Linked DNA regions of Alligator mississippiensis. The protein of the gene in region 2 purifies or fractionates together with the protein of the main gene of each other region. This does not show direct contact. Links are inferred from orthologs where the notes say so. Each region holds a gene or a part of one and is shown on either strand. Other genes may lie near its edges.

What was found.
Region 1: the proteins of SAP30 (region 2) and ING2 purify together in Homo sapiens (affinity purification with mass spectrometry; 3 studies listed by BioGRID and IntAct, counting the BioPlex papers as one, with this or other methods). This does not show direct contact. The link is inferred for Alligator mississippiensis from reciprocal best matches to the Homo sapiens genes SAP30 and ING2.
Region 3: the proteins of SAP30 (region 2) and SUDS3 purify together in Homo sapiens (affinity purification with mass spectrometry; 4 studies listed by BioGRID and IntAct, with this or other methods). This does not show direct contact. The link is inferred for Alligator mississippiensis from reciprocal best matches to the Homo sapiens genes SAP30 and SUDS3.
Region 4: the proteins of SAP30 (region 2) and SIN3B purify together in Homo sapiens (affinity purification with mass spectrometry; 4 studies listed by BioGRID and IntAct, with this or other methods). This does not show direct contact. The link is inferred for Alligator mississippiensis from reciprocal best matches to the Homo sapiens genes SAP30 and SIN3B.

The regions. Positions count from the first base shown.
Region 1 is NC_081825.1:71,860,605-71,868,777, forward strand, and holds the start of ING2 (inhibitor of growth protein 2), read right to left. Parts: upstream 3,311-8,173; coding exon 3,245-3,310; coding exon of another isoform or gene 3,243-3,244; intron 3,242-3,242; coding exon of another isoform or gene 3,237-3,241; intron 2,515-3,236; coding exon 2,508-2,514; intron 1-2,507. UniProt on the Homo sapiens protein: Seems to be involved in p53/TP53 activation and p53/TP53-dependent apoptotic pathways, probably by enhancing acetylation of p53/TP53. Component of a mSin3A-like corepressor complex, which is probably involved in deacetylation of nucleosomal histones.
Region 2 is NC_081825.1:80,263,796-80,271,438, forward strand, and holds the start of SAP30 (histone deacetylase complex subunit SAP30), read right to left. Parts: upstream 3,274-7,643; 5' UTR 3,187-3,273; coding exon 2,779-3,186; intron 2,009-2,778; coding exon 1,886-2,008; intron 321-1,885; coding exon 222-320; intron 1-221. UniProt on the Homo sapiens protein: Involved in the functional recruitment of the Sin3-histone deacetylase complex (HDAC) to a specific subset of N-CoR corepressor complexes. Capable of transcription repression by N-CoR.
Region 3 is NC_081833.1:22,485,523-22,492,988, forward strand, and holds the start of SUDS3 (sin3 histone deacetylase corepressor complex component SDS3), read right to left. Parts: upstream 3,490-7,466; 5' UTR 3,401-3,489; coding exon 3,235-3,400; intron 1,347-3,234; coding exon 1,277-1,346; intron 1-1,276.
Region 4 is NC_081839.1:448,382-456,527, reverse strand, and holds the start of SIN3B (paired amphipathic helix protein Sin3b), read right to left. Parts: upstream 3,068-8,146; 5' UTR 3,053-3,067; coding exon 2,951-3,052; intron 2,855-2,950; coding exon 2,748-2,854; intron 1,781-2,747; coding exon 1,627-1,780; intron 783-1,626; exon of another isoform or gene 708-782; coding exon of another isoform or gene 687-707; intron 1-686. Other genes in the region: NWD1 (NACHT domain- and WD repeat-containing protein 1), read right to left, coding at 4,442-4,731, 6,403-6,511, 7,256-7,809.

The DNA.
Region 1 (8,173 bases), about 8.4 Mb from region 2:
CACCAATAGAGATTTTTGAGGCCGATACCAATTGCTGATATTTAAGGAGGCATATCGGCTGATACCAATCCGATATCCAATACACTACCTGCAGCAGGTAAGTCTGGTGTGGTAGGAGAAAGGGGGTGGGGGCAAATCAAGGCCCTGCCATGAAGGAGGGAGGGAGGCAGGGGCATGCACTGCCCAGTCAGGGAGGGCAGGCTGGCAATGAGACTAAGCTGCAGCTCATCTGTGTGGGTGTGGGATGGAGCAGAACTCATCCATGGGGTGCAGGGGGAGGGTAAGGTGGCTCCTGCCACTGCTGCTGTCACTCATCCAGGAGGGCATGGGGGTGGGAGGTGGAAGACAAAGAGCGTGTGCCCCCGGATCTGCACTGGACAAGGCAGGCTGGGGCCAGGGCTGTTCCCCATGGGGCCTGAGCTGCCTGGGAGGGGTGGGTAGTGATGCTGCTGGGAACAGGGGGCTATGAGGGAAACGGCAAATTTTGGGGTGGCTGCAGCTCCCCCTGTAGCCCCCTTCCAGCAGCACCACCCCCTGCCCCACCCAGCCCAGGCTCCACTGGGAATTGCCCCAGCCCCAGTTCGCCTCATGCAGATCTGGGTCCTGTTGCCAGCAGAGCCTGGGCCACACGGGGTGGGGGGCAACGCCACTGGGAGGGGGCTAGAGGAAGCTGCAACCACCCCAAAATTCACCATAGCCCTCTCACAGCTCCCCACTCCCAGCGGCACTGCCACCTACCCCACCCAGCCCAGGCTTTGATGGGCACAGCCCCAGCCCGCTCCGCCCCATGCACATCCGGGGACACCTGGCCCCCTCCCCCCCACCGTGACAAGTGACAGCAGCAGCAGTGGGAGCCAGAGGATGAGCTGCATGCAGCAGCAGGAGTCACCTCCGCCTGCCCTGCACCCCACAGACAAGCCCTGCTCCATCCCACGCCCCCTAGACAAGCTGAGGCTTCATCCTCTGCCCACCTGCCCAGACAGGGCAACACTTGCCCCTGCTCCAGCCTCCCTCTCCCTATCCCACCCCCAGATTTATCAGCTGGAAGTAGCTCTCCACACTGTGGGCTGTCTCTTCACTGCATACAGGCTGCATGCAGCATGGGCATTTATTAGCCCAATTATCAGCCACTTAAGGCATATATCCAATATAGATTTTTTTTTTTTATATCTGTACTGATCCGATGTTGGATTGATACATTGGTGTATCACTATTATTGGCTGAAAGATGGAAGAGAGAAAGAAGTAACAGCTGTCACTTCTAGACTTAACTAGAAAGGATGGGCTTTAGAGCTAAATAGCTTAAAAGATTGTTTTTTAAATCCAGGTCTAATTTGCAATCCAGAACAAGTGAAAAAATTTAAGTGCAGTGTTGTACTACAGACTGCTTTAGCACAAACACAATGGTTACTCTGGTTTAAGTAAAGAGGGAATCCAACTTGTTATAGCAAATCAATCATTTAAAGCAGGGATGTCACATGGAAGGCCTGGGGAACTGCTCCATCTGGACTGACAGGCCACTGGAAGTTGAGGGAGTGGCCAGGGCAGTGGCCTGCCAGAGAATCTGGGCCCTTGGACCACAGTGACCACTGGGCAGTTGGCAGCAGGAGAGCGAGCCAGCAAGAGCTGATACAGCCCTGGTCCCCCTCCGGCTGCTTTGCCCATCACCACTACTGCCACCCCACTCCCATGCTACGCTGGAGTTGCTGCTATATACCCTGTACGGAACCAGAGCTGCCAGTACCACCCAGTGCACACAGCAGTGGCTCCAGTTGGGGTATATTGACAGGAGCCAGAGCTGCTTCCACCACTGCATGCCATGTGCCTGCAAGGAGCCCTGTGGGTCAAATCCAGCCCAGGTGAGTTTAGAGGGCGCTCATATTTTGTAGTAAAAATGGCCTGAACATAACAGCAGTTATTCAGCTGATTACATACAGCCTTCTGGACATCTGAACAAGTACTATGTTAAGTCAATACCTCATCAAATACACAGTGCAGCACAATTACAGCTGTCATGGTAATGATGAATCCCACCTGCATCTTCAGGTGTGCTGACACTGACATTATTCCTACTTCATACAAAGCAAAGGAACAGCTTTTGGAAAGGGAAAAGTGTTCACATGAGTTTTTCATTCGGAGAGCCCGGCCTGGATGCATCTGGCCATTCAGCAGCACATCAGCCAGGTTGCAGGGAGACCGCACACCCTAGGAAGCTCGGGGGAAGAGGGGTATAAGGAGAAATCACTACCAACATCCTTTAGGGAGAGGAGAACCACTGAAAAGGTTTTGTTCCTTCTCCATTCAGATTTAGGAGTGAACTTAAAAGCAAGATGAGAAATGGGCCACAGGTATTAGGATGGTTGGGCCAGGGATGTTCCTGCCTGGAGCAAGGGACTGGACTAGCCCTTCCAAGGTCCCTCCCAACCTGACTTTCCTCCGATCCCATTCCCCTCTGCTACCGACTTGCAGCACATACACGCACAGGAGCTGCCGTTGGCTGGGTCAGACCACGAGTCTGTCTGGCCCCGTGTCATACAGCGGCAGAGAGGGGAGGCTGAAAGGGAGAGCAAGCTGGGTCCGACTGGGGTTTCCCCCTTGCTCCTCTCCTACTTGCAACCTTCAAGGTCGAGCGAAGAAGCTCCAATGCTGAGGCCAAGCCCCTCACCTGCGGGCTCCACAGACACCCACACCCCTTTCCTCCTAGGATTCGCCTCAGCCCTACTCTGGCCTGGTGGGACATCAGCTCCAGAGCTCCAGGGCCCACGCCCAAGCCAGCTGCTATGGGAAAAGCGCTGCCTTTGGTTAATCTGAAGCTCCTGACCCCGGGCCAGCTGGCTCACCTAGCAGGGACAGACGGCTGAGGGGGCCATCGCATCCCTGCCCGGCTGGGCACAGGGGTGAACCTGGGCAGCTGCCCCGACGCAGAGATGTTTCAGGAGAGACAGGCGGGGGGGGGGATTAGGGCAGCACCTCAGCAACGGGCTTCAGGCAGGCGCCTCGGGACTGAGGCAACAGCGGGGGGGAGGGGGGGCCGGCAAAGGGGGGTGGGCACTGGCACGGGGGGGGGGGGGGGGTCTGGCACCGCCCCCCCACGCGCTGCCCCTAACGTGCGCGTGGCGTGGGGGCCGCCCCGCCCCCGACCGTGGGCGCATGCGCGGCGGCTCCGTTTCCACCCCCCCTTCCTGGGGTCTCGCGTGGGGGAGGGGTGTCCCGCGGGCCGGGCCGCGCCAGGCTCACCTCGGCACTGCGTGTCCATCTCGCGCAGCAGGGACACGTTGCGTTGGATGTCGAGCGGCAGCGACTCCACGCATTCCAGGTAGTCCTGCACGTAGAGCGCCAGCAGCCGGCTCCGGTCGCCGCCGCCCGCCGCTGGGCCCGCTGCCAGCTGTGGCCCACCCAGCATCATGGCCGCGCGCCCCGGCCGGCTCCGGCTCCGGCCCCGGCCCGCGCGGCCTCCGCCACCGCCGCTGCCGAAGCAAACCCCCTCCGAGCCCCCGCCCCGGTCGGTGAAGCTTTGCGCATGCGCGGGGGCCTGCCCTTATAAGGCGCGGCTAAGTGGCACGGCGAGGGGTTCGCATTCTCCCGCCTTCGCCCCCGGGCCTCTCCCATTGGCTGGTGGGCCGGGCACGAGGCCGGAAGTGGCGAAGAGGCGGAGCACTCTTAAAGGAGCTGGAGCGCGATCGTTCACCTCGGGTTTGTCCTTCCGGAGAGGAAGGGATGTAGTGGTGTTATGCTGACGCTACGAAGCTCCCCAGGGCTGTGGAGCATGGGGGGAAGAGCGTGAGCCTGATGGCGGGGCGGGGGATCCGCAGCTCTGAGCTCCTGGGGGTCGCGGCTCTCATCGCTTCATGGGCCGCCCGTAAAGTGTAGGCTGCCAGCCCGTGACGTAGGTGCTCTAAACGTAACGCACGTCGTGCTGTTGTCTTCCCTGAGGGTGACGTCTGTACAGCTGAGGCAGCATCTTGCATCCTTGTCTGACTCCCACCCATGTGCAGTGGGTCCAATAAAAACTACCCCCCCCCCCACACACACACACACACACGTGCGCGCGCGCGGGAGAGCTGGACACAAAGCAGCTACAAAGTTACTGCACGTTTGCTAGCCGTCACTTGAGAGTTGGTTTTGAGGCAGGATAGTGAATTTCTCGGTGCAGCTGACACAGATGAATTGCACGATTAACCAGGCAGTCGGGCAGGGCATGTAAGGTGTAGAGGGAGCCTAAGAAAGCCTCACCTCGTGGAAGGGGGAGGGCACGATAAGGGGTTTACAAAATGCTAAATGGCGAAGAGAGGCAATAGGGATTGATTATGGACACTCACAAGGCAAGAACTGGGGGTCACCACACTAAACTTGTAGGCAGGAAGTTGAGAAGTAACACAAGGAAGCTCTTTGTCCCACGGTGTCTTGTTCAGTTACTGGATTTGTTGCGGAAAGCTGTCGGTTTAGATTCATAGATGTTAGGGTCGGAAGGGACCTCAATAGATCATCGAGTCCGACCCCCTGCATAGGCAGGAAAGAGTGCTGGGTCTAGATGACCCCAGCTAGATGCTCATCTAACCTCCTCCTGAAGACCCCCAGGGTAGGGGAGAGCACCACCTCCCTTGGGAGCCCGTTCCAGACCTTGGCCACTCGAACTGTGAAGAAGTTCTTCCTAATGTCCAGTCTAAATCAGCTAGCTTGTGGCCATTGTTTCTTGTAACCCCCGGGGGCGCCTTGGTGAATAAATACTCACCCATTCCCTTCTGTGCCCCCGTGATGAACTTATAGGCAGCCACAAGGTCGCCTCTCAACCTTCTCTTGCGGAGGCTGAAGAGGTCCAGGTGCCCCAGTCTCTCCTCATAGGGCTTGGCCTGCAAGCCCTTAACCATACGAGTGGCCCTTCTCTGGACCCTCTCCAGGTTATCCTCATCCCTCTTGAAGTGCGGTGCCCAGAATTGCACGCGGTATTCCAACTGCGGTCTGACCAGCGCCCGATAGAGGGGAAGTATCACCTCTTTGGATCTATTCGTCATGCATCTGCTGATGCATGATAAAGTGCCATTGGCTTTTCTGATGGTTTCGTCACACTGCTGACTCATGTTCATCTTGGAGTCCACTAGGACTCCAAGATCCCTTTCCCGTTAGCCAGGTTTGAAAAGGGATAGGCCAGGTTCTTGGAAGAAAGGGGCATGGGTAGCTGTTGAGCATGGGAGTTAGGGGCACAGTAGGGTGACTCATCTTTTCCAAATCCAAAAGCAGGACACATGCCCTCTTGCTGCCCCCTGGACGAGCTGCCCATGGCTCCATCCCACTCCGTGGCCAAGACCTGACTCAGCCCTGGGCCCCTTACACTGCCTCAGCATCAGTCATCTTATAATCACATTCCTGCCTCAGTCCTGTGCCCCTTACACTGCCTCCCAGCCCTAGCTGCCAACCCTGCCCCACTCCCTCCCTCACCATGTGGGTGTCAATCTGTCCCCTCCCAGGTTCCCTATGTTCCCTTCCCCTCCATAGACTTACCTATAGCCATCTGGGGGAGCTGCTCCACGCTGCCTGGCTGTATTGCTGGGCATGTGATGCCCCTGCATCTGTGGCAATGCGTAGGAGGTGCCTGGGGTGCACATGCACCCCCTGAGAGCACTGGTGCACTCCCTGACAGCCAGCATTCCCTGCTTAAGCAACTGGTAGGGGGGCAAGCAAGAGGTCTGTGAAGTGGGGGTGCCAGGAGAAGCAATCCCTGTGGTCCCCATGTGACCGATCGCGCTGACCTTCCCCTGCGGCTGATCGTGCCAACGTGGAAATGCCAGCTACCTTCCCCACCCCACCCCCCCCCAGGTTGGTGCAATTGGCCGTGGCGTCCCCCCCCCCCCCCGGGCCCCCCACATTCACTGGTGCCTTCCCTGACTCAGGAGACACCAGTCGCCCATGCCCTGCCTCCTGCTTCCATTAGCCCCAAGCAGCTCCTTCCATGTTGGAACTCTGCCAGCCTGAAAAGGGAATTTAGCAGTTTCCTACGGTTTTGTCTGTTTAAGAAGAAAATCCGTGTTTTTCAGCAGCGAACAGAAAACCTGGATCCCTGCACATGATACTGGGCCGATGGTTTGACTGTGTCGAGGGGAATCCAGGACAAATGCTGTCCCAGAGACAGAGTCATTCAGCTTGGGGCAGGACTTGATGTTTACATTTCAGGACTGTCCCACCCAATTAGGGATGGGTGAGATCACCCTCGGACACAGCCTCTGAATTAGAACTTCCTAGGCCTTAAATGCAGGAGGCTGCAAGTGAGATGGAAATAGTGGAAAAGAAAAATCCTGGTCATACCCAGTTCCCTCTCCCTTTCAGCATTCGCTCTCTGCAACTATGTGACACAGGAGACTGGGCAAAATGGATCTATGATTTGACCCAACAAATGGCAATTCTGTGTTCATTTCTGCAGTATCAGGGCTACAACATCACTCTTACACTACCATTCTCTTCTCTTGCATACACCTACAGAAAGAGGCCCATCGAGGACCCAGAAGGTTTGATGTAAAAAATATTTATGTCAACTTCCCTTTTACACTTGAAGACAACCAGTCCTGTCCCTTTGCTCTGCCATGCTGAAGGTCCCACCTTCCTGGTACTCCTGAGGAGATCATTCTCTAAGGCTGAAACCTAATTTCTGGAAGTGCTGCTTTCCAAATGCATTGTATCCAAGCAATTTTGTTTTATTTTTATTTTAATGCATATACAGATGATAAACAGGCATCTGGGTTTTCTATTTCCCATGGAAAATGTAAACAAATGTGGATTTTCCCTTTGAACTGAGAATAATGCAGATTTCTCATTTTAACAGAGAAATGTGGAGTTCCAGCCTGCAAGGGTCTGGGAGAGCGGGAGGAGGGCAGTCAGGAAGGGGATATATGCACATTGCCTCGAGGCAGCCTGGGGAACAGCTCCTGCAGGTAAGTCTGGCGGGGTGGGAGCAGGTATTGAGGGAGGGAGTTGAGCAGGGCTGGGGCTGTTGCCCAGCCAGGCAGCGTGTGGAGCTTGGGGCCCGGGGCCAGAATGTGCGGCTGCAGGGCCCCGGCAGGGAGCAGAATGGGGCCACAGAGAGCTCATCCAGGGGTAGGGGGGGCTGGCTCCCCAATGCTGAGTGCACTCCCAGCGGGGGCAGGCAGACATGTGCCCTGTAGATCTGTGTGCAGGGTGGGGGTGAGGGCAGGCTGCTTGCTGTGAGCTCGGGGCTCCCTGCCCTGTTGCCCTCCCCCCAGGGCCTCCATGGCCCTGGCTGGACCCAGCGCAGCAGGGCAGAGTGGGGCCTGGCTGGGAAGCTCCTTGACGCTGCAAGCCCTTTTAAAAACTTGTATATATAGCAATAAATCATTGTGTCCAGTTGATAGCTATATATATCTTTTAATTGCCAATTTGGGGGTTTTATCAGAGAATTTGCTATTTTTAAACAGAGAAAACCAAGATCTTTGGTAATAAATTATATTTGCAAGTGGTTTATACATTGACCACAAAACACTGCCATCCGTTATGCTGGTTTTATGGTTTTATATATATATATATGTAAATGATGAGCAATATTCAGGTTGGGGAGACGTTATATCAGTAGAATAGTTATAGGTTACACTCAGGAAACAGTAAGTCTCCATCATGCTAAAGTATGCTCTGAAGTCACACTTTTCTTGCAATGGCAATTGAAATGGTGAGATGCCTCAGTAATTTATATCTTTTGAGTTGTGAGTAGCTCTATCTTAGGCCATTGTAGCCCACGGTAAGAGTTATCCTACTCATCCTTCAAGAAGAGCAATGTAATGATTCATGGAAAACTGTTATTTAAGGAAGCTCAGTGACATTTTATCCCCCAAGAGTAATTTCAGTGAATTTTAAATAAAGCGTCAAAGAAATTTAGTCTTTTAAAAGTCCACTTGCAAGCCAACAATCTCTAGTTTTGATAGAGCACCCTGTCTCCCCAAGGTCTGATGCAGAACTTGTATCTGACACTGATAATAAGAAACATAGGCTTGTACATCTTAGTAGCGAAAGACTTGAGAGAATTATATTAAGCTATTTCAGTTTCCAAAAGGCTTGGATTTCATCCATAAATCCCTTTACAGCCATTTACTTGTGATTTCTGCTACACTAGTAATATTTTCAAGTGTCAGAAAAAAATCTCATTGATTCCTGGAACAAAGGCAAGAAGACCT
Region 2 (7,643 bases):
AGAAAAAGCTTTTAGAACAGGATCTAATCCAATTATAATTCAGTAGTTGACTGAATTTTGTAAGCTTACATCTGTCAGTTACAGAGGCTGTTATGTTAATCTGTACGGATATTCTCTACAAAGGTAAGGATGTATTACTTGTCCTATGGTTCACCTTTTCCAGAGATTCACATATTATAGCAAGTTGCATTGCCTGCTACAGAACAGATGTTCATACTTACTTCAACAAGCTGTGCTTTGTTGAGTCCTGGTCTAGTCTGTAACTTGAAGTGTCTTTTGTACCTTCGAAGCGTGTTTACTTGCAACTGATATAAGTCAACCTAGGAAAAAAGAAACAATGGCATTAAATCATCATTAAATATGGCAACTGAAATGAAGGCAGAAGACATGCAGTATGTACTGTCCTTCTGTTCCAAGCAGCCTTTAGTATTCCGCCCAAAATAACATTCTGAACTGCCCTCTGAAACAGACTTGGAGGTGAAATTAGTAGATCACTGGCACAGAACTTTTTCTTCCTGGAAACGGTAGAGATTGCATTGGGCACTCATTTCTTTTCCATCAGTGAAGTCATGAGTCTCTCTGGTGCAGTGCCCAGATTGGGGGTGGGGGGTGGCAAGGAGAGAGGAATAAAAACACCTTTGGGTTTTCTGGCACCGTCTAAACTGACAACTGTAGCTTTTAGAATGTGGGTCTGAACTAAGCCTCCTTTGCAGGAGCGGATGCGTTAAGCAGTACATTTGTCACTATTATTTTTTTTGTCCTTCACAAGAGTCGGCAGCAGATATCAGCTGTGGCAAGAACTGCTGATCCCATAAAACTTGAAAAAGAGAACTGGCTTGTTCAGGAACTGTGGTCCGCACGGTGCCAAAATTGCAGCCCTGGGATTCAAGAGGGTAACTGCAAAGATAATTGTGGGGAAGACTACAAAAAACAGTCTCTAGGAACTGAGATAAGACCTTACAGGACTCAGAATATTCCAGGACCTCAGACATCTTCACCAGAGGCTTAAAAAAAAAAAGTGTTTTCCTTCCTGTCAACCCAGAATTCTTTAGCAGAGTGCTGGCAGTGAAAAGGCCTTATGGACAAATGCATTACCGGGGAACTTGAAGGAACAAGTTCTGCAGCCAAATCTTAAAAATGCTATTTGAGATCTTTGATACCTCGAACAGGCAACCTACCCTCCAGCTTAGTGCACTTATCCAGGGCATATAAAAAAAAAAAAAAAGGGTATTTCATACCATCTGAAATGGGAAACAAAAAGGTGCATATACGTTTTAAACACCACTTTTGTATATGGGATGTGCCAGATCAAAGCAACCACTTCCCCAAAAACTGGAATGTAATAGTGGCACTACAGTACATACTTTTACATTTAAGATTTAACTCTACTATGCTTTTATGTATGACACATATCTATTCTAAGTGTTTTTTTAACAGAATGGAGCAACTTCTGACTGTTCTGTAGCCATCCTGGCAGGACGGGGGAAAAGCCAAGGGACAGTTAAAAGGTGATAAAACATTTTATACACCGAAAGTATAAATGCTGGGCTCATGGTTCAGTAACTGCCTGACTCCTGCTGAAAAATGGTTCTGCTACTATGTGGCTAAGCACGTAACTCCAATACTAGGGATCTGGGGAGAAAGGTAAAATATTTCAGAATCAAAACTGATTTACGATTTAGGTTAGGCTTTATTTCCAGGAGAAGTATGATGAATAAAATGGAGAAAACAAATATTCCTTATGTAAGCATCTTAGAATATATCATTCTAACATACACAATGAATACAGAAGCATAGCCATAAGAAATGTTATATTTTTGTGACTAAAGCATGACAATTAAGAATCAGTTTTACATGGCAACCACATAAATAACTAGGCAGGTACCTCTGGAGTGTCAATGTCTTGCACTGGCGAGTCACCATCATCATCACTGCCTTTTCTCTTTCTTCTGTTTCTCACGCTCTGAATTAAGTTTTTGTGAAAGTCACAAATATAAAGATGCCTTGCCTAAAATAAAATGAGAAAAAGCCATGTTTTCCACGATTATTTTGCCAGGGTTTGGACACGTGCGGTCACACACAGCAGCGGCAGAGCCATCGCCATGTCTCGTGGCCTGAACTCGGGGCGGAGGAGATCTGCTGGTCCCGGCCAGACCCCCCCCCCCCCCTCCTTTCCCCCTCCGCGCTGCAGCAACGAGCCGACTCCAGGGAGCAGCCGAGCCCAGCCCCCTCCCGCCATCAGCAGGAAAATGACTTCTCCGTCGTCATCTTTTTAAAAGCCGCCGATGTCTCCCCCTGGTCCTCGCCGCCCTCCCCGAGCCCCTGCCGGCGAAGCAGGCACTCTCCGCCGGGCCCGGGGGGTTTAACAAGCCGCGCTCAGGCCCGCAGCGGCGCGGATCGGCTGCAGTTTCACTTTCAGCGACTCCGGGACCGCAGCCTCCCCCCTCCTCCCCCCCGGGCTCTTCCAACGCGAAGTTTCCGCAGCTGAAACCTCCCGGCACCCCCCGCAGCAGCAGCAGTCACAGCAACAGCCCCCTTTGTGCCGCTCGGGAGGGGGCTCCCCGCGCTCCCCACCGCGGGGCTTTGTCTGGGGCCGGCGCGGCTCTACCCCATGGCGGCCGGGCGGCCCCCGCGGGGACAGGGCAAGCAGCTCCCCTGCGGCAGGCGGGCGCGCCAAGGGCAAGGACGCGGCGCCCGGGCCGGGGGCAGTGGCGGTGCCTGCGCCGCAGCCCCCCCGCCGCCGCCTCCCCCCCCGACCCCGGGCCCGCGGGCACTCACGCTCTTGTCCAGCTCGATCTTCACCTTCTTCTGCGAGATGCTCTTCTGGATGCGCTTGCTGAAGCTGGCGTTGCCGGCGGCCCGGCCGCAGCGCTCGCCCTCCTCGCGCAGGCAGCACAGCTGCCCGGCTCCGGGCCCCGCCGCGCCCGCCGGGCCCGCAGCGGCGGCGGCGGCAGCAGCAGCGGCAACCGCGGCGGCGTTAGCGCCCGCGACGGCCCCGGCCCCGGCTGCGGCCCCGAGAGGCGGCGGCGGCGGCGGCACTGGAGGCGGTGGCGGCGGCACCTCCACAGCGGAGCCCGCGCTGGCCCCGGCGGCGGCGGCGGCGGCGGCAGCAGCAGCAGCAGCGGCGGCGGCGGCTGCGGGGTCCCCCCCGCGCGGAGCCGCGTCCTCAGGCGCGAAGCCGTTCATGACCGCGCCGCCAGCGGCTGCGTCCTGCCCCTCAGTTCAGCCCCGCGGCGTCGCGCACGCCCCGCGCCCCTCTGTCATGTGCGGACTTTTCAGCTGTTTCCTCTGTAACAACAGCAACCCACCCGCCCTAGCGCGCATGCGCAACCCGCCGCCTACCGGGACCTGTAGTTGGCGCCGCGGCGCCCGCTCCGCCCGCGGGGAGGCCTGGGAAACTACCGCTCCCGGCGTGCCCCACGCGCGCTCCGCCGCCATTTTGCGGAGCGCGGCAAGGAACAAGACGGGGAGGGGTGGGGTTATTTTGGAGGTTGCGCTTGCCTCCCCACCCCCACCCCCTGCTCGCTGCAGAAGGGAGAGGGGACGCGGGCTTCTGGTCCCGTTCGCAACGCGCATGTGCGGGGAGTTCTGTGTTGCGGTGTTTGTCGTACAAAGGCTCGGAGCAGCCGTTAGGATTTGAAATGTGGCCGTTCGGAGGCCGCGGACCTGCGGCAGTTCCCCCCAGAGAGCGCCCGGGCCCTTCCCTTCCCTTCCCTCCCTCCTCCCGCTGCAGCGCTGCCCCAGCGGCCTCACCTGGGCCGGTAGGCCGGGCCTGGGGAAAAGGCGGGAGTGCTGGGCTAGTCTGACTGAGCACTGGCGAGCTGCTGTCTGCCCGAGAAGCTGGCAGCCTGGCGCTCCGTGACGGCCTTTCGCCCTGGGTCTTTTTTCAGCGTTTCCCCTGGCAGAGGACAGCGTCAGTTGGAGTAACTGGGCTCGCTCCCACCGCCCCGCTGCGGGGAGCTCCTGCCCCAGACAGTTCCCCCCGCCATACTTCCACACACACACACACACGATGAGTAAATCTGACCGACCATTTTTTTTCATGTGCTTGCTGTGAGGGAAAAGGCTAAGTGGGCTGAGTTCTAGCCTGTAGTTCATACTGGGAATATCTGGGGGGGAGGGGGTCATTGTGAGAAGGCTTTGTTATAAAGAAATCTTGTAAATAACCTCATAAGCAACCCACCTATATGTCCTTTTCACCCCAGTGGGGAGATAGCAGTCTAGACCTGGCAGCAGGGCCCAGAGACTGCTCCCTGATTGGTTCCTCGTGACTTTATTTTTCATTGTACTGGCTGAGTGGTGTGCCCAGGTAACCAGTTCTGTAACTTCTATTGAAGTGTGGCTGACTGGGCCTCAGGAGAAAGCGTGAGGCTCTGATAAAGCTCGATGGAGAAAGTCCCAGGGAAGACAGATTAGTGAGAAAAAGAAGAGTCTCAGGGAGGATGGAACAGAGTCAAAGGAAGAACAGGGGGAACTGGTGTGGCACAATAGAGACTGGCTGTTTCAGAGCAGAGATTGCTGTGCTGTTGGGACACATCATTCTGCTACCCCTCCTCTTTAAAAGAGCACTCCCACTTCCACCCCCCCCCCCCTTCATGGGAGCTGATGAAAAGGAAGGAGCTGTTGGAGGTGTGGGTGCTATTGATCACTGAGGAAGCGGGAGACTGAGAAGATCCAGGGTCTCCAAGTCAGAGGCTCTCCCCTGCTAGGGGCTGGCTTCTAGGGGTCCTCTCAAGACAGGGAGACCAAATAAGGCTGCTTCTTGGAGAGTTGCAAGGCAGAGCTCCCCCCTCCAACAAAAGGGCATTGATCTTATGACACCTGCAAAGCACATTTGCACTGGCGTTGGAGTGTTTTGTTTGTCAAATAACTTATTTGACAAACAAAATACTCCAACCTCCCTGCCCCTTTTGGTCAGCTATTCCTTTCAAGTTAAGACAGCGGGAAAGGCCATAGGCCAAAGAAAATGGTTTAATTTAATTGAAAACATTTCAATGTATGAATTATGGCCTATTCGAAGTTATAGAATCAAAATAGGGAGTGTGACAAAACCCAATAATTTAAGGAGATACGGGCTCAGTGCATTGCGCACTCAGGGGTTACAACGGTTTCAATTTCTACTTCTTAACCTGATTTTATAACCCAGTCTTACAGAGTATGGGTACAATCCCACATCAAACTTGCATCTGTGTTGTGATTCAGAGGGTCAGATTCAAACAAAAACTGAGGCATGTAAATCCAAAAGTGCAATCCACCTGCTTAACTGTTGTTTGAGACTGTGATGGTCCACAGTCTCAAGCTTTTGCTTGGTAGGCAGGTGCCTACGGTTTTGTTACTTCACATGCCCAGAGATGTACCAATACAAAGGATGTACAGAGGCTGAGCCAATATCACCAACGCCTATCACACATTTCAATCCACTTGAGACTCAAGGGTTCATTTCAAGAGGCCTACTCTGAGTACACTTACCCATAAATCACACCAAAAGCATTAAGTTCAGCACAAAGCAGAAGACACTTTCATGGTCCCAGAGGAACAGACTTGCACCTTCAGCTTCCTCTGTGCAAAAATGAAGTTTATTTTCTACCTATGGGGACTTTTTATCATCTTTTATTTTTCCTGAGCCTGAGGAAGGGCGTGTGTGCCAGAAAGCTTGCAGAAAAAGAGATTTTTTTAATGATTTCTTAGTTGGTCTAATAAAAGGTATCACCTCTGAACCAAGAGTTCTAGAGTTTTGCATTTCTAAGTCACAATCGCTTTCATTCAAAACCATAGCTGATGGTGGCGCCGCCTATCTTTTGCATAGACAAATGATTAGAACACAGCAATCAATCACTACTACACATTGCTATTAGATAGCATAGGAGCAAGAGATAGCCTTACCTTTAGCCAACTTAGAATGGATGCAGCAGCAAAAGTTAACCCAGGCTGTCTTTACACTGATAGTTTTAGCTCTGATTTGTTCAGTAGTTCAGGGATTCCCCCAGTTTAGCGGCTGCTGCTTTTTATAGGCAGGTAACCCTTTACCCTGGTTAAACATTTCATCTGTCTGTGCCGAGTCACATTCCTTCTTTCTTACTCTCTTGGGCCCTATGAATCCTGCATTCTTGGCTTCCAAGATAGTGTATTCAACACTGGATGACAGAGTCATGTGCTATCTTTTCATGGCCGTATGATGTTGCATTCCTTTTTATGCAACAGTCCTGCTTTAGCAGCAGGGGCAGAAGATTAGAGCACTCTCCTGGAGGTGAGAAAGATACCAGTAGATTTGAAACTCCTCAGGCTGTAAAGCAGTATAACTAGGTCTACCACTTCCTGGGTGCATGCTTAAACCACTAGGTATAATACAAAGGGTGGATTGTCATCATTGCCAGCTGTGTAAGAGTGATGAAAAAGTAAGCCAGTTACCTGCATCCAAAGGAAGAAATCAGTTGATAAGTGCATGAAGGCACTTTGCAGGAGAAGATTGATTCCAGAGATGTCCCCCTGTTCCACATTTCCTAATGGCTACCTTAGGTGTCCTCCCTGCTTGGCATACCAGCTGTTGTGAGTTGCAGTTATCTAAACTCTTCTCATCCCTTGTATAGGAACACAGGTATCCTAAAAGATATGTAAATTCTACACTTGGATCTGACTGCCTAAATGGCATGGCCATACCAAAATGATGCTGTGCCCAGTTCCCTTAGTAAGTGAATTTATATTAGGCATAAAGATATAGATGCCAGTTGCACAGAAGGGATATAACTAGGGACCTACTTAATCTGTGGTTTTGTGGAGTTTGCAGAAACAATGAAATCTGGGATAATCTACAAAATCAACATTAAAAAAATCTTAATAAAAATAAAATGCTGGCTCCCTCTGGGAGCCATTGGTTCCTGCTGCCTGAAGGGGAAAGTGCCAGCTGGTATGGTGGCAGGATAGGATGGTGGCTGCCCTCTTGTTCCTCCTCCCCACCCCGGGGCCTCTCTGCCAATCAGCACCAAGGGGCGGGGCCACCACACAATGCCCACAAAATCAGCTCTGTATGCTGCAAACAGGTTGTGAAAAACCCTTCCTCTCACTGCAACTTAAGTAGGTCCCTAGATATAACCCCAGGGCTCCAGAATCTACACTGGTTCCCAAGAGCTTTCTGGGTACAACTCATGGTACTAGTTTGATGGATAAAGCTCTAATCATTCTGGGCCCGATGTACCTTATGACTGTCTTATGCCCTATCACCAGGGATCCTGGTTTTCTCTGATTTAAAAAAAATCCCCAATTTTCAGATTAAAAAAAGTATTCCCAAATTCACATTTTCTCGTGATTAAAATGAAACACCACACACACACACATATATATACACATGTATATATAAGTGACTTTTTAAATCCGAAAATTAGGGATTTTTTTTAAAATCAGAGAAAAGCAGGATCCCTACCCATCACAATCCAAAAGGTCAGCTAAGATTAACCTTCTGTAAGCCTCTGACAAAGACATTGAATTACAGGCTCATATACTTACCTATATAAAGAAACAATCAGTATAAAAAAAATAACGTTTGAAGTCAAGCGTTATTAGGTCATGCATTGCTTTAAAGCCTTGATCTTGTAGGGGCCCTAGGGACTGTGCTAATGGGTACACAAGACTGGTAAAATTATTGCAGA
Region 3 (7,466 bases), on a different chromosome or scaffold from region 2:
TTTATACATGATGTGGTATGGTAACTGCTAATGCAAGAAGCAAGCTGCTCTATTATGAACCCTTGACAATAGAACACCAAGCTAAGCTTAGGAATTCTGGTAACAGACTTTATTTCATTAAATGCATTTGCAGCATTCTCCAATGCTTAATGCAGGATGGGAAGAATAGATCTGTGTTAATTCACAGAGTTGCAAGGCAGGAAGTCAAAGTTTATTTTGCCACAAGTGTATCTTGTCTTCCATGTATATTGATGGGGGCTTACTTTAAAGTCGCAGCCTATGCAAGATAGGGACACATTCACATCCTAAAAATAGGGAACTGAGACACGAAGATTGAGACACCCCCAAGGCTAAGAGGGCATAAGTCTGTTGTATTGTTCTTGATGTCTGTAGATCAGGGGTGGGCAAAATGTGGCTTGCAGGCCAGGTGTGGCCCGCCAGGCCATTCTACCTGGTCCACAGAGCTTCTAAAAAATTTAGAAAATTTATATTTATCTGCCCCGGCTGCCTGTCATGCAGCCCTCAATGCCTTGCCAAAACTCAATAAGTGACCCTCTGCCTGAAATAACTGCCCGCCCCTGCTGTAGATCAACACACACTGGAGTAAAAAATATACAGAAAACATAAGCCAGACTATTGATTTGTACCAGGAGCAACCATTTGGGTTTATCATAGAACTAAAGGGGTAGTGAAGGTTTTATATGAGAAGAGTAAGTTTCTGAATTGAATCAGGAGATCCTTTAATCACTCCAAATTGATTTGGAGAGATTCGGACATAGACACAGCTTTAAATCTTTTTTCTACATACTTCAAGGTACCAGGAGGCTCATGAAGGCTGAGATGGTGAGGCGGATGGAGCGTCCCACAGGAGCCGGGGGGGGGGGGGGGGGCGGGGGGGGGGGGGGGGGGCGCACGCTGTGTGCTTGGCGGTAGACCTGGAAGTGGACCAGAAGTGCTTCTAGTCCACTTCTGGGTCCGCCGCCAAGCACACAGGGGGCCCATTCATGTCCAGAGCAGAGATGAATGACTCCAGTGAAGTCACATCTATCCAGGAGGACAGTAGCAAACACTTAAGTTGTTTGAACACTGATGCAACAGCTAAGTAGTTTGTGCTTGTAGACAGAGGGAACCTTTAATAAGTCCAATATAACTAAACAGCCCTGTTATGTTAGGAACTATCCAGACAGAAATAACCTGCCCCTGGCTTTTTTAGCAAGTTAAAAAACTTAAAGAAAGATGCCATTAAACTTTGTTTTGGTGGGGGAGGAATACTTACTGTTCTTTCATTTCTACATAATCCTCTTCATCGTGTTTTGCCAGGTCAGTTTCACTAGCATCCTCAGTATCTGAATCAAATGTAGAATAATTTGATATCACTAAAAACACAGCATCAAATCATTTTAAAGAAACAGGTCATTTTTGTCTAGTTGCATTTATTTCTAATTAAGCTAGGGCAGCCTAAACGGTGAATTCTGACACAATCATCTTCAGACCATCACAAGCTGCTATCCGTGTTTTCCACACATAGCTGTCCTGTTTGCTAAAACAAGCATTTATAATAAAGCTTAATAGTATAGAAAATTAAATCAGCTGACACAAAACATCTTGTCCCTTTGTTTCTTGAATAAATCTAGCTAATTATAGTAAATTAGAAAATCCTCATGCCATCCATGAAAGCTAGGCATAGCATAAGGGATGTGTTGTAGACTTTCTTACATTTTTATCCCTGCCATATTCTCTTTGCTAGAGCAAACCCCAGCTCCTTTACAAGTCTCAAAACCCCTCCACACTTTCCCTGAAACCCAGAACAAAAAAAGAATAGAACTAAATTCTGTTACGTTTTACAACAGAGACAAGACTTCCAGGAAGGGTGCTAAGTAATGCTACTGGGATTTATTCAGCTTAGTATTTACAAGCATACACCTCACAGAAGTCCTTCAGAATCTACATGTAACAGAGGCGAGTACTAATGCTTAGTGCCATCTCACACAATCTCTCTGACATTGTAACCTGTCACTGTACTACTTTACTATGTTCCCTCACTTCACTCCTCTGTTCCTCCCCTTACCCCAGGGGTGGGAAAACTGCGGTCCATGGGGCAGATGTGGCCAGCCAGGCCATTCTATCCAGCCCGCAGGGCCCCTAAAAAAATTTAGAAAATGAATATTTATCTGGCCCTGGCTACCTATCATGAGGCCCTCAATGGCTTGCCAAAACTCAGTAAGTGGCCCTCTGCCCAAAATAATTGCCCGTCCCTGCCTTACACTCTTCTCACTACCTATGGACTTTCCTCCGTTACTACCACCCCTCTCTCCACTGAAAACCAGCCCAAACTCCACCCCCCTCATCCCTCCTGTTTCTCCTGTGACTGTTTTACACCAATTTCCCCCCCACCCTCTTGTGGAAATAACATAATGATTCTCAACCTGGCTGTTGCAGGGATGCTGTGAAGTCCTTTCACGGCTGCCATGAGTTATGTGCAACATTACCACCCAGGTGCGCAAACCCCTGCCCACCATTCATAAAATAAACCCAGAGATGTGAAACAGAAATCCACAGCATCAAACCCATTTGGCCTGGCTGCTGTCCCAGTTCTTTGCAATGGGGGAACTACTGGGTTATTTTACTGGAGCCAAAAAGCAGGGTTCCTCAAGTCTGATAGGGGGCAGGAGAGTTTGAGTCTAGAGCAGCAGTTTTCAACCTTTTTTGTACCAGGACCCATTTGTAAACATCGATGGCCAGTCCCGACCCAGTGCCCCTCACCCCCAACCTGCTGCCCTTGCCCCCAGAGTGAAGGGCAGCAGTGTGTGTGTGAGACATGGGGGGACGGCAAAGGAAATGCTGCGGTTCCCCACATTTTTTTCCTTTAAAGAAAAATCCATTTGTAGAGTTTGTTCTCAACCCTCCCCTATATTCTTGCGCCCTGCTTTTGGGTCAAAACCTGTGGGCTGAGAAACCCTGATCTTGAGGTTAAGACCCAAAGCAGTGACCCTCCCGGCTCCTCCTGCCCCACCAGGTCCCAAGTGGGGATGAAGTGTGTCAGCTCACAAAAGCTTGTGCTTTTAGACATGCGCATGCAAGGCTGTAGGAACACACGCGTGTGTACGTGACACACACACGTGTATGGGCATTACACGTACATCCATTACACTACACACACCCGCCCCCGCCTAGCGAGGAAGGTGCGAGTCTCCCCCAGCCCCCCCCAGGCTCCCGGGCGCGGGCCCCGCCCACCCTCGTCGGAGTCCCGGGCGCGGGCGCTGCGCTCGCCGTCCTCCTCGTCGGCGCTCTCCAGCTCCTCCTCCTCGTAGTACTCGGGGCCGGGCGGCAGGGCAGCGGGGAGCGTCCCGGGCGGCACGGGGGCCGGCGGCGCGGCAGACACCAGCCCGGCCGCGCTCATCGCGACGGGAGGCGGCCGCAAGCCGCTTCACCCGCTCCCTCCTCCCGCCGCCTCAGCCGGGCGAGGCCCTCCGCGAGCCACTTCCGGGACGCGCGGGCTGCCTCCGCTCTGCCTGACCCGGAAACTCGCGCAGGCGAATGCGCGGGACACCTCAAACCAGCCGGGCCGCGTGGGGGCCAGCACGGAGTCATCAGGACCCCCCGGGGGCCGGAGCCTGGTGCTAGTGGTAGCGCCTGCGCAGTGCTGTAGCTACTTGGGTTGTTCCAAGTGGAGTCTAGGGCTGCTCTCGCGGCCCTCTCCTAGAACGAAGTGGGCTGTGCTGAACCCCCACCCGGGTGGGACGTGGACTTGCCTGATAGCGGAGGCAGGCCCCGCCCCCCGTCGGGGTCCGGGTTCGCGGTGGCTGCCCGCTGCTGCGTTCGCCCGGGCGGGCAGTGCCCTCGGGCCGCGGAGCCACTGACCTCATAAGGTCCCTAGAAGCCAGGCAGGTGCCGGCTGCACCCGCGCGGCTCGCCCCGGGCCGGTCCCGTCCCCTTCGTGCGGAGCGCCCCGCTGGTTGCCGGCAGAGGGTGCTTAGGAGCTGCTCGCGGTCCCCTCTTTGCCTCCTGCAGGCCCGGCGGCTCCTGCAGAGCTGCCCGGCTCCGGCTCATCCCCAGCGCGCCTTGTCGCGGGCTTCCAGGGCATCCCGCCTGGCCCGGCCCGGCCCAGCCCAGCGCCGGGTGTTTTCCGCCCGGGGTCTCCATTCCAGGAGGGTGCTGGGCTCTGCAGCGCCGCGTTACCCTGACCTGACCCGGGGCCCCAGGGGACCAGGATTCACATGTGTGCAGGTGCGCGACAGCCATGTCACGTCCCAGCCAGCCCTCACGATGATCTGTTCGTCATCAGGTGCCCGGGGGCAGGATGTTGAAGTGTTGAGGACTGAAGCGCAACGGCACCTCTGCTCTTCTTATTCCTTTCGAAGGACTCGCTTTTTCCTTTTCCCGTGTCCCCAACAAGCTGTCGCTGATAGCTGTGGTATCACATCCCCCAACTGAGGTAACTGCTTCACACCCATGGATAACAGCTTCTGTGCCAGGAGTGGGTTTATTCCCTCCAAAGCAATAAGCGCCTTTCAGAGATGAGATCCTTTTCAATCTTGTAATGTTCAAATGCTCTCACCAGGCTGTGTCCCTGGAGCCATACAGATAAACTCTTTGTCTTGCACGTTGCTAATTACAGGCTTGGAGAGGCTATTCAAGGCCTTCAACCTGAGCACAAGAATGCTAAAATCTGGATTTATGGTGAAGTGTCTGTGGGCACATCTACACGTTTATTAATGCACTGTAATTACATTAAGTTTAGTACCTGTTATGACACGTACTAAATGCATCATAATTGTTGCTACTGTGCATTAGTGCAGATGAACGTTTTTCTGATGCTACTGTGCATTAGACTAAATCTACTGTGCATTAACATAGGCTTTGCTTGCCGTGCTAATGCACAGTAGCTTCAGTCTTCTGAACATGAAACACCTCACGTAGACACACCCTGTGTTAGCTCTTTTATGGGAAGACAAGCCATCTAAGGTGTACTGATCAACTGGTTGATATTGGTTTATAACTAGCGGAGTTGTGACTAAGCATTTACCTTAACATTTGCAGGGTATGTTCCCCAGAATCATGAGATGTTGACTCACTGAGGCATATGTCCTATGTACTGTAACCCTGTCATCAGGAAAAAGGAAATAATATTTAAAAAGTGCTATCAAAGAATGATCACCAAAGCAATGCAGTGTGAAACTAATAAAACTAGGCCTTGACAAGCTGTGAGAGGTGCTAGTGTACTCATTGTTATTAAAAGGGTGAAAATGTTTAAGTGCTTAGCTCTTCTATTTTGCATTTTGGCCAAAGATCTGTTATGGAGATTAACGTTTTTAGCCTTGCAACATCCTTGTTAAGTATTTATTACATCTTTTTTTACATATGTAAACATTACTCACCTTTTACAGATGATGGGATTGAAGCTGAAATCCAACAGTTTTCAAGAGAGGTCACTAAAGTTGAGAGGTGAACTAGTCACAGGTGAGGCTGAATCCAGGACTGTCTCCAGTGGCATGTTTGCCTTAAGCCCCTCTTGAAGCAGAATAACTTTTCCAAATTATGCTGTTTTTATGTTACTTTCAAAGGCCAGGTATATTTACTGATATGACATCACATGTGATAGGAACTGAAAGGGGATGGTGATAATCAGTGAGAGACTAGGTATAATTGTTGATTCAGAAATGTTTAAATTATTCTGTGGTCAACACTAGAATCCCATGTGCTGCATTGCTCTCATCTCAGCACACTTCACTCCCCATGTTCAGTGCTAAACTTATGCGGAAACCTCATGCTGTCATCTTTCAGGCATTCAGTTGAAACCCAAGAGGAGGCTTATCTTTAAGGAATGTGCCGTTTCCCCCTCAATAGTGACTACTTGACTGTTCACATCTCAGCATTCAGAGAGAATTTGTGCCCCTTATTCATAGAGTCAAAGTCTCCACCAAAGGTCCTTTTGTTGTATCTGCATATCCATTCCTTTGAGGAAAGCTGCTTTGCCTGTATCAGCTATTACCATTCATGGAGTAGCTGTGATACCAAACTTGGGCTCACAGCATGTAAAAGAATCAATATGTTGATATTGAAAAAAAAAACCTGTCAATAAAACTTTAGGTTAGTTTGGAAAGTGAAGTCTGTTCATGGGAATGAGATGGTTGTGACCAGAACATTTGTAACATAGCATACTGTGAAAAATTATGGTCAGGGGCTAACACCAGAGGTGGTTTTGAGCTGTGAGCGACCGAGGACATTTTTTGCAGGGGGGGAAGACAAGAAAAGAACAATGAGCACTGCAGCCCTCGCCCCGCTGGTGAGGATTGCGGAAGACTCCTTGTATTGTAAGAATCCCCCATCCTCTTATTGCCCTTGCTATTCCAATAGCTAATTTCTTGTTGTATCGTCTACTTGGAAAGCTCTTCCTGTCCCTTTGAGCCTTTTCTTCCTTAAAACACCACTCTGTAAGCAAATTCTCCCCTTTATATTGTTAGCAATCCCTTTCCCCTTGTCCGGTTTTGTTGCTTCTCCTGGTTAAGTCTTATCCATACTGAAACGCACAGGTTAATCCAGTTGAAAATAGACCTAGCTATGCATGTGCAAGAGTGACTCGTTTAAAGAGTAAATGCTTCTTTCATCTAGACTGGACAAGCCTCAAATTCACTTTTTGGGTTGAATGGGCAAGAAACCCGTAAGTCCCCCCACCCTTTCCCCAGCACGTTGAACCCAAGGCCGGGCGAGAGGCGCCTGCTCCGATCCAGGCCCCCATGGATCGTTGCCCCCCATTCAAACTCCCGCCTTTTCCCACAAGGGGTTAACCCCCCGGCCGCCCGCGCCTTTCAGGGCTTCCAATCGAGCACCGATCGTCCCGAGCGCTCTCTGGGACCGAGCTGTGTGGAGGAGCTAATCGATCGCCATGGCCCAGAGAGCACAGACTTCTAAATCAACCACCGATGCAAAGATCCCCTTCCCCCAACATCGGCCCCGCTGATGCGGGCAGTGACGGCGGCCCAGTCGGCTCCACCCTCCCCGCGCAGGCAAACGCAGACCGCCCCCCCCCGGTCGCGGGGGGGAGCAGGCTGGCGAGTCGAGGGCCGAGCCCCGATTAGCTCGGCTCGCCCGAGCTCCCAGACGCGGGAGTCGAGCGCCGATGCAGCCGAACGATCGGCCGCGCCTGGCAGCAGCCGCAGGCGCACGTCGGGCAGCGGCGGGTCCGAGGCAGGAAGCGGGGGGCGGTGAGCGCGGACCGGACCGGACCGGCCCGACCCGCCCGCCCGCTGCGGCCTCTCGGGCCCGGGCCAGGTGAGAGCGCGGCGCGGGCAGCTGGGACTGACCCGACCCGACCCGACCCGACCCGACCCGGCGAGCAACAGGCGGGTCCCGCGGGCTGCAGCGTGTCGGGGCAGCGGGGTGCGGCGGGGCCGGGCCGGGCCGGGCCGGCACGACACGAGTGGCGCGGGCGGCAGCCGCGGTTGGGAGCACAGGGTGGGGAGCCG
Region 4 (8,146 bases), on a different chromosome or scaffold from region 2:
GCTTGTAGCTTACAGATGAGATTCAGAGGACAAAGTTATAGCTCACAGCCCTCAAGCTTAGTGGAATCCGAATGCATTGAATCTGACCATGCTCTCTGCCCTACATCTCTTGAATATGGCAATGCTTGAAAACGGCTTATGCAATTAGTAACTGAGTGTGAAAAGCAACTCCTCTCAAGCCAGTGCTGCCACGGCCTTTCTTAAGTGCCTCCAGGTACACGAGCAACACAGTTCTTTTGTCCCAGGCCAACCACGACTGTATGAACTGGTTCTGGAGCAAGTGTCCATCAGTAGCTAATGCAAGGAGGAAGGTTGAGGGATTCTAGCAGAAGAGTCTTTGTGATACTGGACCTTTTGAGAACTGGGGGAATGAAAGCGAGGAATCTCACTAACTCCCAGGGAAGAATACACTAAATATGAGAGCTCTCTCTGAATCAGGGGTTCACAGCAGGGGGCCTGTAGGCCTTGTAGATCATCTCTGAAAGTATTTTACCCAGCAGCGAGTTTCAAGTGTCAACAAGACCTTGTATTACCACAACACATGGTGACTTCATTTCAGTATCCAGTTATGAAGCCAGGTCTCCTGTTAGTCACTCAACATCAAGGCATTTGATGCACAATAATGCCATACTTCATCACCAGATTCATATTCTCTGCTCTGTGTCCTTTTATCAAAGGGTGGATACCTTCTCAGGTCCAGTTTTCATCAACAATTCTTCCACCAGAGCAGCCTCATTTTCAAGGGATTTTCAAATGCTGTACCTGGACCCACTGGCCATGATCTTGACAAAGGAATACAGAGTAATCAAAATCCAATGACCAAAGGTCCGTGAGAAACCTGATTCACTAATGCTTGTGATTGGCACTACATTACCCTATCCTCTTCACTTTAGAGATGGTTTGAATTCACCCTGCAGTATAGTTAGAGTAAAACTACTTTGTTCCAGAAGAATGACAGATTATCAAGATGCATGCTCAGTAGTCAAAATGCTAAATTTCTAAGTAATACAAAACAATCAATGCACGTAAGAGATCTGAAAGAGTAGTAGATGGTGGAAATTAAGGTTTATACAAGAAGCTTCTGAACAGAATTTTAGCTGAGACTTTTCAGTTACAAACTCAACAACCGCACAGTGATGAAGGAAGCAGAGAATGGCATGCATCTATTTGTGTTTTAATACCACATCCTTCAGTGCAGTATATGAGCATCTGAATAAAACGCGGCTATTTGTATCACGCCAGTAAACGTCTTGTGCCATAATGGGAAGGAGGAAATAAGATCTTTTGAAATATTCCTTTAAAACGTAAAGTGTGATTACAAAGACTGAATGGAGCATGTATACATGTGCACCCAGCCACCATCTCAAATCTGACTCAAATGTCTGGGCTGCAGCATGTGTGGGAGCTTTATTCCAATCAAACTAAGAAGCATTTCTGGAAAAGAAAAACTTTTTTGTAACCTCAAAACTGTTTTTTATAACCCCATACCCTCAAAATTTGAAAACCTTTAACTAACTGCAATAAAGGCAAACCAGCTCATTTACTATGCAGACCCTGCGTGCTACTTTATCTATATGCGCACATACATTTGTGTTCACGTAAAGTAATCCAAGCATGTTAACATACCTGACTAGCCAGCGGCGACTGTATACTCAACTTCCCGTTCTTTGGAATCTCTATTCTGTAGCCCAAAGGGAGGAAAGCGTTGAATCCTACAATGAGGTCGGGATGTTCGTGAAACAGCTGGGAAACGCGCCTGATTACGCCAGGGGTGTCAATGCTAGAACCAAGACGAAACCGTTAACTGCATGCAGGGTCTTTGTCACAAAATGCAACCACAAAGGAATTCATACGCAGGTACAGATGCATCAGATTGCAAAAATAACTTTGTTTAACAGCACAGGGATTTGAAAGACTTAAGCACTGAGACAGTGCTCACTCCCTGCAGGTATCTGTGAAGCGCCTACATTTCTCATGGCTCCCTCTACAAGATGTCAAACGCAGCAGGGGGAAGTACTGCTCGCTGAGCTCCGGGTACGTAGCGAAGATACCTCCTCCCCGCAGGCTTACGCAGCGACCGCGCAACGTCAGCATTTTGGTACGCTAGAGCCAGGTGTGCAGGCGTCAGCAAGAGCCCTGCCTTTCCCCTGAAACAGGCATCTGTGCAGGTCTGCGGGTCCCAGGGCCGAACGGTACCAGGCCGCGACCGCACGCCCCGCTGGAAGGTCCGTCCCCCGGAGGGAGCAGCGGGAGCGAAGGCCCCTCGACCTGCTCCTCCCGCGGCCCCTGCCAGAGCGCAGCGAGGCGGGACGGGGCAGGACAGGCGAGGCCAGGGGCGAATCAAGCTGGTCGCAGTCAGCGCCAGCTGTCGGGCAGCCGCGGGGCAGAGGGAGCCGCAGCCCGACCCCGCTGCGGGGAGGACCAGGGGAGACGGCTCGGGAGCAGAACAAGCTCCCGGGAGCGGGTCAGGACCCCGGACGCCAGCGCCCAGCCCAGCCCAGCCCAGCGGCGGCGGTGCAGGGAAAGGGGCTGCCCTCAGACCGGACAACACGCCCGCCTCGGAGCCAGCCCTGCCTGGAGCTGCCCGGGCCACGCGCCGCCGCGCTAGGACGGCACGGGGCCAAGCGGGTCCCAGCCCAGCAGCGCAGCGCAGCGCAGCGCGGGTGCCGGGACGCGCCGCCTCCGGGCTCGGGCTCGGGCTCGGGCCTGCGCCGGCTCGGGGCCGGGGCCGGGGCCGGGGCCGGTACCTCTGGCTCTTGAACTCCTTCATGATCTCGAGGAAGCCGTTGTAGGTGGCCGGGTCGCTGCCGAAGCGGATCTTCACCTGGTCCAGGTAGGAGAGCGCGTCCTCCACCTGCGGGGAGACGGGCGGGGCGGGGTGAGGCGGGGCGGGGCGGGTGGGCCGGCGCGGGGCGGGGCGGGCCGGGGCGGGCCGGGCGCGGGCACTCACGTGAACCGGCAGCTTCTCCTGGGCCCCGGCGCGGCCGCCGCCCCAGCGCGGGGCGCTGCCCCCCCGGCCGCCGCCGCCGCCGCCGCCGCCCCCCGCCGCCATGTTGGGAACTCGGGCACCGGGCGGCGGCCCCGTCAGCGCGTCCTCGGCGCCTGCGTCACCGCGCACGCCCCGCCCCGGCCCCGCCCACTTCCGGCCGCGCTGCCGGCTTCCGGCGCCGCTATCGCGCGGGGCGGCACTAGCGCGCGTCAGGGGGCGGCGGCGGCGGCTCTTCCAGCTCCAGGCCGGGCCGTTTCCGCCCGAGGCGCCGCGAAATCTGAGGTAAGGGGTGCAGGGCCGCGCTCTGCCCGGTGGGGCGGGACCGGCTCGGCTCGGGCAGCCCCCGCGTCGCCCAGGCCGCCGGCGAACACCTGACACGTTTTATTCACAACAAAGCAGAAGCCGCATCCGTGCCTCCGGCGTGGCCGGGCCGGACCGCGGGGCGAGCCCGGCTGGCCGTGGTGCGCCGGGCGCGGGAGGGCTCGCGGGGCCCACGGGGCTGCCCGCAGCAGGCACGGGCTTCCCGGCGAAGTGCGGAGCGCCTCTTGCGTGGGCGGCCGGCCGCGGTGCCGAGCTCCCGCACGCGCCTGTCGAGCGGCCGGTCGGTCGTAGCCGCGCGGCAGATATCGCCGCCGCCGCCGCCCGGGCACAGCGCAAGCAGCCCGCTGGAGTCGAGACTCTCGTATGAAGTTTATTAGTAAAGCTATCCTGAAAGTTGTGTGGGGGAGGGGGCACCGCCTCCGAACTACATCGCCATAAAACTTGTTCCTTTACTTTTAGGAGGAACTAATAATATCCCAACAAACAACCGATTAGTGCAAAGACCTTCCCTGCGGCAGCCCGCCGGACACACGACCCTTGTAATCACAGTCTCAGAAATCTGCGGCTGCTCTCTCTCTGTGCGCAGGCAGCGAGGGCTCGTGGGCCGGTAGCTTGCTCCTGCCGCGATGGGCGTGCGAACTGCGGGCTCTGCAGCCCTTGTACACACAGACCAGGCGTGCGCAGCTCCTAGCGCAGGCCGGGCGGGGGGTGGTGGCAGCTCACAACAGCAGGGGTTCGTGTGTACTCATGGCGCGTGTTAACGGTTCAGCAGTCGGACGGTTGACTCTGCTTCTGGTAAATGAGGCACTCGCATTAACAGCACGTTGACCCGTTAAAACCTAACGCAGCGCAGGCAGCGTCACGAGCGCAGCGCCCACGTTCCCTGTGCGTTACTTGACTGTTGCAGTGCAGCGGCACTAAGAAATCCTGAATGCTAACTGATCAAATACACTGGGAAATACTATAGTTAACTAGGTTTTCTTTGTTGCGTAGCGTAGATTTGAGCAGAGAAGAGATCTAGTAACTCCCGAATTTGACCCCAGCTCTCGGCTTCTGACTTAAGAGGCTCGGCCTGAACGCTTGATCTTGGGTCCCGAGGCTGCGTGGTCCTGATCTGCTGCTTCGCTCCTCTTACACAATTGCACAGATCTGTGAAGGCTTGCGGTTTTGACTCTGGTGTCTGGAGGTATTTCCTTGATTGTGATGCTGCACTCCTGAATTTGCCTCTTCTCCCTTCCTGGATTTGACTGTGCATGTTGCCTCCACGTGCTGGAGCGGGTCGTGCTGGTGGCTGCTGGACTGTGGGCAGTGGAACTTCTCACGAATTATATAGCCAAGATTTGTTGTTGCAACAAACCCATCAGCAGTTGGCACGATTCTTCTTGCAGTTGCATGCACACACTGCACAGCCAGCAGAGCACCTGCAGGAGATGAAAAGGAAATGATTTGCAGCATAAGACGTTACACTTGAAGGACAGGAGGCCCTGCCGTTTTCCATAAATGGCCCCGTAATTACTGGTGTTAATGTGAAGGAAGGGTGGGAAGTTTGTCATCAGCTCCTTTAGACTGTAACAAGGATCGGGGTGGATAATAGAAGCCTATAAAGGATTTTGCCATAAAACTTGCAGAGATTAACTTGTCTTAGAGGGTCATGGGCACGCTGCCCTGAAAGCACTTGCTACTGCACGGTAACCTGCAGTGAAGAAAGTGCATTACTTACGGTTCCAGTAGTGTTCTGGATACCTGTTTGACAGATCAGAAGGCAAGCCCCCTGTCACGTCAGCTTAACAAAAGGAAGTCTACTAATCCAAACTGCAGAATACACAGCTGGAGTTAAACATCTTTGTTTAAACTAGCTGCCCATCCTTTGTGAGAGGATGACAAGTACAAGCCTTATAACAAGCTAAAGCATAAAGTTCACAATTGTTATGTAACCCTGAAATAAGAGTGAGCACACAACAGTATCTAACAGAGGAAAGGCAAGGAAAATGGAAGCGTACATTTTTTTCCCTTATGCCACATATGATGTTCTTGCTCTTATGTGGGCCTAAGCTTTTAGGATGAGTCTAAATACAGAATTTTAAGGTACCTTACACATCGACCCTGACAAGCCCTCAAGCAGCTTCCCTGCTGTAGAAAGTACTACATCTATGGCAAAAACTAGACACTGATGTCACTGGCTAGTTCAGGGGTGGGCAAAATGTGGCCTGCCAGGCCATTCTATCCCACCTGTGGGGCCCCTAAAAAATGTAGAAAATGAATATTTATCTGCCCCAGACTGCCTGACATGGGGCCCTTGATGGCTTGCCAAAACTCAGTAAGTGTCCCCCTGACAGAAATAACTGCCTGCCCCTGGGCTAGTCAGTGTAATGAGGCCTTTTTGACACTGGGGATGGTACTTCTCTTTGCAGTGTCACAGAAGGTCAGGGTGTACTGGCAGGCACTTGTGGGATGTTCTCATGGATTCAAGGGAGGCAGAGGTAGGGGTCAGTGCCCATCTATATGTAGCTGCAACTTACAGAGACTTTCTCTCTCTCTCAAAAATCTATTTTTTGGCCAGGAGAGAGATCCCAAATTCCTTGTGCTAACATGTAACCAAGTTAGTTTCTCATTTAAACTGAGTGTAAATTTTGTTTTCCTTTGTACTGCAGAAAGGAGCTTACATACCTGTTTAATATATACAATAAAGCAGAAGTTGTCAAATTGTGAGGCGTACCCCCCTGGGGGGCATGGAGGTGGGGGTGCAGCACAGTGGGGCATGGGAAAGAAGCTTGCAAGGAGCCACTGCAGCTGCATGGGGGGGTGTGGGGGTGGGCAGGCTCTGCCAGGGGGTTGCTGCACCTCTGGGAGCCCAGTGCAGTGGGCGTGCAGCCTAGAGCCACAGCAGGGCCAAAGCAGGAGGTGCTAGAGCTGAGCCGAGCAGAGCCACAGCAGCTGCTAGGATGAGGGATGCCTTGTGCCTGGCTGCGCTGCTCCTCTGGGGCGAGGGGGCCGGTCAGTACAAACAGAATTGGGGGCTTAGCTCAAAAGGTTGGAAAATGATGTAGTAAGGTGTACCCTCTTGTCTTAGCTGGCGATACAGATTTACTTACCATTTGAAACATCCCAAACTGCAATGGATTGATCCAGTAATCCAGTATACAGGTATTTATCATCTTTTGAGAAGCAAGCACATTCAATACCTTTCAAGAAGGATGAATGCTAAAAATGGATAATGGGTTTGAATTAGACCCTAATGTACTGGTAAATGCACATGAAGATTAAGACGACCTAGATGGTTTGACTGTTAGGTAGTTGAGAACGGGCATACATTTTAACTTAACCAATGTTTCCAGAGTGGTTCTAAGCGAGACTGAAAGTGCAACAAGCTTGGCATTTTGCTTTTAAGCTTCTAAAGCGCTTCAAAAAAAGTGTCCTGTAAAAGCTCAGAAGGCTACCAAAAGGAGTGAGTGCAAACTGTGCAGCCTATCGGGTAAAGGCTGAGGCCTGTCAGGCACAGGTGAAAAGCTGAAAAATAGCTCAAGCTCTTCCATCACTTCCCCTTTTATGGGACTCCACAGGGCTGAGCCTGTTAGTCCTTTATGCTGCTTTTACTTGACCTCAGCTAAACAATGTGCATAACCAAGAACAGGATGCAAGCAAACAATTAAGTGAATGTGGTGGATAAGTTCTGACCAAGCATCTCTGAAGATGTGAGTTTTGGGGCTAGAAAAAATTTAACAGCACTAGGTCATCGGTGGGCTCTCTAGAAAGCATACTCTTTAACGAGGTAGCTAAACCTGGATACAAGTGTGCAGTTCAGGCCTAAGATGCCAAAAGGAGGCACCTAGCTGCTACAGTGTTTGGAAAGCCCGCTATTTGAAAATTGGACTAGTTATGTCTGTACTGGCTCATTGGAATAAATGACTAATAATGTTGTGTTCCCAAGCTCTGCTGGTGCAGTACCTTGTAGTAGCAGATCTCGTGTTTCCATTGGCAGAGCTCCAAGTCCCATAGACACAGCAGAGAATCCTCAGAGCCACTCAGTGCCCACTGTTCTCCGTGACTATTTTCTAAACAAGTGATTTTGCTTCGGTGGGCTTCCAAAGGAAATACTTGGGAACATGGACAGTCATAAAGGAATAAGTCCCCACTGGACATGCCATAGAGGACCCGACAGCCTGTAAGGACAGCCACGCTGGAAATAACAGCAGGGAGCTGCGTATAAAAGGTATAAGTGGGCTTGTCAATCACTGGGCATGGCTCTCCAGGGTTGACATCCAGCACAAGGACTAAGTTATCATATGCTACGACCAGTTGTGTTTCCTGCCTGTTGAGTGCTATGTGGTTGACTGGTTTTTGTGACTCCGGGGGTGGGATGCACACCACATCTTTCCTGGAATTCAGTGGAAAAACCAGAACTGTTCCAGATACCAGCCCAGTGAAAAGGAGTTTTTTCTGCTCAGCCACCTCCAGACTTCTCACTTGAGCAGAGGTGTCCAGTGTGTCACACTCTGCACCTGCAAGAGAAAAGATGAGTGGTGAGGCCTTTCCTTTGCTGGTTCTGCATGGATAACTTCTCTTCTACAGAGCTGAGAGTGGATTTTTCCTATAACTTCACAATAAGGGCAGCTGAGAGAGACAAAATAAGAGCTGAATATGTTGTCATAATGATACGGACAAAAAGAAAGCCAAATAAGAATGATAAAAGTGGATTTCCAATCTACAGGCCCTTTCAACCTAACCCAGACCTTCAGGGGATTGGCTTTGCATCCCTGTTGGGAGATCAACAACCTTTTCTGGTTATCTTGAATCAGTCATTTGCTTTCCTGCATAATACTGCCTCCCCCTGCCACC